Linked DNA regions of Rattus norvegicus. The protein of the gene in region 2 binds, or shares a complex with, the protein of the main gene of each other region. Links are inferred from orthologs where the notes say so. Each region holds a gene or a part of one and is shown on either strand. Other genes may lie near its edges.

Region 1 (3,821 bases), on a different chromosome or scaffold from region 2:
AAACCCTTATTTTGCTGCAGACTTCCTGAAAATCTCCTACGGACTGCTGTTGGGTCCATGGATCCTATCTGTAAATCTCTTAGACTAGATTAAACAATGAGGCTGGAGATGGGACTCTGCATCTCTAGCATGGTTAAACCTCCAGTGACAAACAAAAATAAAACTTCACTTTTCAAGTGGTTTTCTTTATACTCAGAGGGAAACAGTTACCCCCTCTTCGTTGTGCAAGCATCAGATGGAGTTTAGAACCGATGAGTACAAATTCTGAGGCTCTATGACATTTCCCCAATGGAGTAGCTGTGAATTCCAGTTTGATATAAATTTAGAACACTACACTGGCAAATCAGACCATCTGCTCCATCATTAATCAGCTAAGTAATCTGGGGAAACCCTTTTGGTGCCTGTGAACCTGACACTAACAGCAAAAGAATGCAGAGCCAGATCAGTGTCTCCCACAAAAGCTTTTCAGAAAAGAGTTTTTAAAAGAAGGAAAAGTACAAGTATTTAAAATGAATTCCAAGGGATTTTTCCCTTTCTGTATACAACATCATCTGAAGTGACAGCAACCAGTCTGCGGGCTTCTTACCTCGTGTGTCATTTTCTATTTCCGTCCTCCAGCGATGTAAACAGCTCTCCAGCACAGACAGTTCTTCCTCTGTGATGTGCCTTGGTGCCGGATGCATGGGCAAGTCTGGAGGGATCCGCGACTGAGTGAAGGGTTTGTGTATCACTGACCTCAGTGACAGGGCAGCACCTGATGCAGGTGACGAGCTGGGCAGGTCTGAAGCAGGGGTTCCCTGCTGTTCTGTTGTGCTGTGGTTTCAAAGCATACACTACTATTAGACCTCCAAATGGAAGGCAAATATATAGATAGCATTCGAGCTCCTCATAATTTCAAGAGAAAATGATCTTAAGAAATACATGAACTGATCAAATATCCTGATGAGACATTCAGTATGGGAGGACTAAAATCTTATGAGGATGAAAGTGTGGCTTTAAAACAAGAATGCCTTCTTATTTTTAAATGGAAAATCTAATGTATATTCTACCTTTGCAAATACCAACTTGCATTACCAGAAAGAAATTTGTGTTCAAGAGCATTATTAACATATTATAAACGTTCAGAAACTACAAACCAGAACATTGAACGTATAATTGTGAGCAGAGACCATGTATAAAGATTCCACAGATAAACACAGACCTGCTGAAATGATAAGGGGTAAGCAGCTAAGGTGACCCACTGTTTAAAGGGTTTCTCGAGGTTAATCACAACAGCACAGAACCCGTGTGAAGGCAGCACAGGATACAGGCACCAGAGCAGCTTGCTGCATGGGAACGTTACCTTGGTAACGACTGTGATGATGTGGAGCCACTGGTTGAGGAAGTAGCATCGATATCATCCACAGGAGAGGTGCAGACAGGCTTACTGGAGGCGAACTCCAACGCATACTGTAGAACATCGACCAGTGGGAATCTTTTGGGACCGGAGCCATAGCTTAAATATCTATTAATAAAATATACAAATGTTTTTCCTATATTGTCAGCATAATTTGTGGCTTTAAGTCTTATAAAATAAGACAACACATCAATAAATAAGACATCAGTGGAATTCACTTGCTTTTCTAATAAAGAAGGTGAAACTGAACATACATTCAAGAGATGGACTAAATGTTCTCAGAAGGAAGGACAGCAGAGCTGATCAAAATGCAAGTCATATGTGTGGCTGCACCTAAGACGCCATCCTAAACTGTGCCCGGTGGGGAAACAAAGTCGGGACCATCTGCAAACATCCTCATCTCCTGAGCCTTAGGGGCCAGGTAGTCATTTCATCGTCACCTACCCCATGAACACTTTTCATACATGTACTGGAACTTAAGACTAAAACTCACTAGAAATATATGTTCACACTCAACATTTTATGTTACTAACATGCAAATTAAACCTAACTCAGAAAGTTGTACGTCAGCAACTGGGATTTCAGTCTTAGACTTCTCTGGCCTGCACAGCACCCACATTCCACATTTGATGGAGCTGTGACTTGTTCTTACAATGTTCACGATGTTCTTACACATGCACGCACAGCCCCTCCCTTATGGTGTGCGACAGCACCCACCCACTCGGCACACACGTCTATGAGCCGTGCATGCCCTTCGCTGACCAGCTTCTTCCTGAGTGACTGATCCACTGTGTGACTCCTGGGAGGCCAGGTGGGAAGAGTGCGGATCCTCTCACTCAGCTGCCGCTCCTCTCAAGCCAGTGAACCCTGTGCTCTCTGCTAGCCTCCTTACCTCCACTTTCAGCACCAGGGGAACAAGGCGGTGATAATCAGATCTTTCATTTCAATTTCTAAAGTAATCATCTACAGTCTACTAAGGATGCAAACTAGTTTCTAAAATAAATAATCAAAATTAAATCCAGAATGATTGTATACATTATAAGTTACCCGAAGCATATTTAAAATGAATAATCTAGGGAGTCACAAGCACTTGCTTTCCTGTCATAATTTCACGAAGGCAGAAATACCTCTCTAATCTTTGTTGTAATACTGTGAGGTAATCTTTAAGTCTCTTGATCTCTTCACGTTTAATTCTTGTTATTTCTCTGTTTCTGTGCATATACCTACAAAGGAAAAAAATTAGCCAGCATTAATGTTCCCAAATATCTTAGAAACGAGTATGATGTTAAATTTAATTATCACTACAAAAGATTAACTGAAGTTTTATAAGATACCAGATATAAAACACAAAACTATTTTAACATTTAATATATTTACATTCAGAACTATATATGGATAAGAGAAAATGAATGTGTTCCCTTAACAAATAATAAAACAGACACATCAAGCATCAATAAACTTTAGCTGGAAGGAAATAACGAATTTTACTATACAGTTACCCTCCCCTTGTTTACTCAACAGTTGCAAACCTACCACATGTTGTACAAACCATACCTGTCCAGGTATAAAACTTGGGGAAATTCTAGTTTATTGTGAATTTTTTCTGGTCTTCCCAATGCCTGATTAAATTCAAATCTTGACAGTTCAAATGTTAATACAGGTGGCAATTCAGTGAACCAATGCTGAAAGAAAATGAGAACAGACACTTAGCCTCAGTTAGGTTTCTCATCAGAGTTTTAAGGACAAGGATACCATCCTGGCGCTGACAGCACACAGAGGAACTATGATGTTTACCTTACAGCTGAACATCTATCTGAAGTTCCCATAGCCTTTGTCTAGAGGACAGAGGGAAACCTTATCTATACAGTTGTAACATTCAAAATTCTAACTCGAAGAAAAGGACTCCAGAGCTCCGTCTTCTGTCTCATGCTGAATGACACTTATTAAAACTTATTAAAACCGAATGTCAAATCCACGATTTGATTCCAAGGGAAAAATACTTGTCTGGCAAAAATGCTCAGTGTTTTCATCCTAAAATTGGAAAAACATTATCTTCCTATTTTCTATTTTTTCTCTTCCTATTTTTACCTTGAATCTTACAATTACACATTATACTGATTTATGGTAAACATTTTTCATTAGCAAAAAAAATTGTAAAAACTTTCAAATACAAACTAGCAATTAATGAGTCAAATTTCTTATTGCTCTAAGCATGTCTTTTTTTTTTTCTTTTCTTTTTTTCGGAGCTGGGGACCGAACCCAGGGCCTTAGCGCTCTACCACTGAGCTAAATCCCCAACCCCTTCAAAGCATGTCTTAACCACCCACCCCTACATGCAAAATTTGGCAGCTCTTCAGTGCATCAGGAAGTTTAACATTTTCAAAAAGCTGGTTTTCATGGAGCAAGTTTAATTTTACAAAAGGAT
Region 2 (3,821 bases):
CACACAGCACGGCTCAAAACAGGAACTGAACAAAATCATCATGAACATAGCTGATGTCTACACGAAAGAGAACACGTACCGAATTACAATGGAATGAGTTCTACACTACAGTAACTGCCCTCTAAACCTCTTTCAGGGATGGCTTGAAATGGTTACTGACATAACTTAGCTCTGTTAATTTCATAAGGTTGACTAAAATACATGTAAAACAAAAAAAGAGTCAAATTCAAAACCTTCAAAGTTTTGGTTGCCTATAGTTTTTTCAACTCCATAGATATATGTTCCTTCTCTTCTCTGCTCTATGGAAAGTGTGTCTAACAAGGAGATGTACAGAAAATATGGAAGTAAGAGAAGAGGCCTGTGGCAGTGAAGGACAATGGTTGAACCTGAGGGCAGAAGGAGAGCTCAAGATAAGGCAAGACTGGCCAAGCTGAGGGAAACCATGGAGTAAGTGCCTGATTTTATCCAGAAAGCACTTAACCTGCTGGAGGGTTAAGAGCAGGATTAGAGGTTGATAGGCATGTGCTGGAGTCCTCTGGAGGCTGTGGAGAAGGCAGGGAGGGAGGTGAAGGTCCAGGTTGTAGACTCTGAGGCCCAGGAGAGGGAGAGACTGGGTTAGGTGAAAGCAGAGGAAAGGACAAAGTACAAAGATTTGAGAGAAGTGTAGCAGAGGGAGGATCTCAGACTTGTCCAGCTAGTACAAGTGAGTAACTGAAGCGAGGGAGGAGAGAACACTGTACCAGTTACCTGCATGTGCTCTGGGGTTAGACTACCCAAGCCCCACATCCAGTCTGATATTTCTTCACTAAGTTCTGAAAACAACTTTTCCCCAAAACAGCTTACCTTGTTGTCCACCTAAGAGTCTTTCAACGCCCTTGATTAACTTGTGGCGGTGTCCATAGGCATTGATGCCTATTTCTTTCAGTTCCTCATGACCCATATCGGCCAGCACATCTAACGTGATCTGAAAACGAAAGCAAACTTAACTAAATCTGTGCCGGCTTGGGAGGACGAGCGCTCCTGTGCCGTCTAGGGGCTGCAATTACAAGTCTGACGAACAGCTTCCTTTTCTAAGCACCACCTTCATGCAGCCTAAGAAGACCAGTGGCCTCCTAGTTCAGTAATGGCCTCTGGCACTTGTTTGGAGCAGACGATCCCTGTGATGGGAAGACAGGTGACCACTGCCACGTCTCTCTGGCTGCCATTCTGTCATCTTCTGTGTGTCTCCAGATACACAGATCAGCAGCTTGAAAATGGGAAAACCCCAAATTCTGTACCGTGTGGGTAGGAGAAAGGAATGGCAGAGGGAGGGGGAACATTTTAATCTGTCACCACAGTGTGGCAAAAGTAAGATGAGAACTTCCCAGTGCTGGGAAAGGAGCAAGCCAGGAGTACTGCCGTGGCTTCAGGAGGCGGGCTGGTTTATCAGTTTAGGTCACAGGCCATTCTATGAGAGATAAAGAAATCTCAATGTACAGAAAAGGAGAGATGGTTTTTAAGTTCATAAATACCAGGTTAGTGATGCTTGCTGACAACACTCGGCTGATGTCTGTACAGATTGTGACTCTGCCTCCACCCAGTGGCAAAGCTCTGACATCACCTCATGTCCAGAGGATGGCACTGGTAGTTTCCTCAGGGCAGAAAATGGTCCTGGGGCAAACACATGCCTATTGCCCTGGGTTATTTTCTTTCTTTGGAAAACTGAAATATCCTTTATAGACATCGTTTTTCTAACTCATTCAAAATTAAAAAAAAAAAATCACTTTCTTAGTCCTTACACTTAAAGTGACAGTTTCGAGCCGGAGCTTTGATTTTTCCTGTCAAAAGGAAACACTGCACGATGAGCAGCATCGTCCATGCAAGGACCACACTGCTCATTCTCTGAGGTAATTTAGCATATTACTTTAAGTGGCCATTGAAGAAATAATTGTTTCATGGTACAAGATCTGTAAGTCACTTCTAATCACCCAAAGAAGTTTTCAACAGAGCTTTAAAAAGACAGCAACATGGAAATAATCATCTTTGAAATAGAACAGTTTACAAAATAGTTCTTAGTCAGACCTGATTTTAATGTAACTGTAAGCCATGCTGCCGATACCGTCTTCTTCTAGATATTTTATATTTCAGTTTAAATATGAATATTGACAATAAAAACACAGCCTCGTGTATGTGAGGTAACCAGGTTACATACATCAAAAGCTTTCTAATTGACATACAGCAGTGCAGAGCTGAAGGGTGTCAGAGTCAGGCTAGAAGACAAAACAAAACCCCAAGGGATTTCTAATCATGTCTAGAGAAGAAATAAAGACAGTTTTAATATATAGACTTCCAATCACAACACGAATGTAAAATCCTCACCCAAGCCCCTGCCCCAGCAGAGGAACCCTGAGTTACTACACTTCCGCTCACAGAGCAGGGCTCAGGGAGCCAGGCTCCTCCCTGGTGTGGAGAGCAGTCTCTAAAATGGCTGCTGGAGATCTTCAGTCTCTAGCATTTGTGTTCTAAATTAAAGTCCCTTCCCTTTGGGTGTGGGCTACACTTACTGAGTAGTTAACTAATGTGATATAGTGGAAATGACAGGATAGTACTTCCCCCTTATATTTAATTATTTATTATTTTTATGCCTCTACTGACTTATCTGGTGGAAACAGAGAATATATTTGGTATTTGGAGGAAACCACAAGCTTGTTCCCCAAGTTCTTTTCTTTGGGAGAAGGGAGTTACTCATATCTAACGTACATTAATATAAAATAATAAAGTCTATTCATCTATCAGCTAAAAACGGTTCTGCATATAGAGTAAGGGCTATGTCTATAGGGTCGCCTCCTGCCCCTAAGAGTTGCTTGTTTGCCTGGCCTGTGAAGAGAAAATTAACTACTGTAAGTGAAAAGGCCTTTTTCCCTTGGGGTGGTAGCAGTGGTGACTTTGTAACCGTATTTACAATGAATTTGTTGGGCCCAAGCACTACAACTTGAAATAAAATGGATATGGTTACTTTCTGTGAAAATCCAAGTCATAGCAGTTGAACTCCATAAATTATAATGTAAACCCAATTTTCCTTTCCCATGAACAAAGCATTCTAGGTAGGAAGCTACACTATGAGTGTGAGGAGACGCTATGCAGTGCTACAGTTAAGTAGACAGGATCCTGACGTTTCTCTATGAAGCATCTATGGAAGAGGACGACTCAGACTTCTGAGAAGAGAACTGTGACGGTGGAGCTGAGGATATGATGCACTCAAGTCTTCTAGGGGAAGAAATAAAAGAATTGCCTCCCGCCTCACTGGGACAGCAGTATTCGCAGGCAGGAACAGAGGCAGCAGAATACAGTACACCAGGAGTCTGAGCAAACACACCCAGAGCAGGATTAAGTAGACACAGAGATGGATCACATTACCAGACTGCTACAGAATGTTTATGACAGAAAAGAAAATTCTAAAGGCATGCTGTGGAAGAGTTAAGTAGCTTAGGATTTTATACCTGAAGACTACAGATAACATCTGCACTCGAAATAATAAATAAACTTAATTGTCTGCTCAATGGCCCAAAAGACAGTTAAAATAGGTCAATATATAGAAAGGCACACCACTATCTGGAGGAGAGGGGCTACACCAGGTAATATGCGTTAACTGCAACAGTTAACATCTTGACTATGAAAAGGATATACAAATTATTTTGGACAAAAGAAAAATCAATGGGACATTGATTTACTCGGAAGAAAACCAGTAAAAAAGAACAATAAAAGTGATAAGAGGATAAGCTGACTGAAGGCTGACTCATAAACTCCTAAGTCAACAGCATGAGCACAGGCACAGGTCAGCT

The links.
Region 1: the proteins of Tnks (region 2) and Usp25 are in contact, whole or in part, in a crystal structure (PDB 5GP7), measured with the Homo sapiens proteins. The link is inferred for Rattus norvegicus from reciprocal best matches to the Homo sapiens genes TNKS and USP25. Residues at the interface, in NP_003738.2 of Homo sapiens: Arg836, Ser838, His842, Leu843, Gly846, Tyr847, Leu871, Asn876, Ser879, Tyr880, His882, Asp900, Trp902, Phe904, Glu909, Gln912, Lys913, Gln934, Glu935; in NP_037528.3 of Homo sapiens: Ser1046, Ser1048, Arg1049, Thr1050, Pro1051, Ala1052, Asp1053, Gly1054, Arg1055.

The regions. Positions count from the first base shown.
Region 1 is NC_086029.1:29,160,045-29,163,865, reverse strand, and holds part of Usp25 (ubiquitin carboxyl-terminal hydrolase 25), read right to left. Parts: intron 3,079-3,821; coding exon 2,951-3,078; intron 2,620-2,950; coding exon 2,524-2,619; intron 1,505-2,523; coding exon 1,343-1,504; intron 814-1,342; coding exon 587-813; intron 1-586. UniProt on the Homo sapiens protein: Deubiquitinating enzyme that hydrolyzes ubiquitin moieties conjugated to substrates and thus, functions in various biological processes including inflammation and immune response.
Region 2 is NC_086034.1:64,053,625-64,057,445, reverse strand, and holds part of Tnks (poly [ADP-ribose] polymerase tankyrase-1), read right to left. Parts: intron 965-3,821; coding exon 844-964; intron 1-843.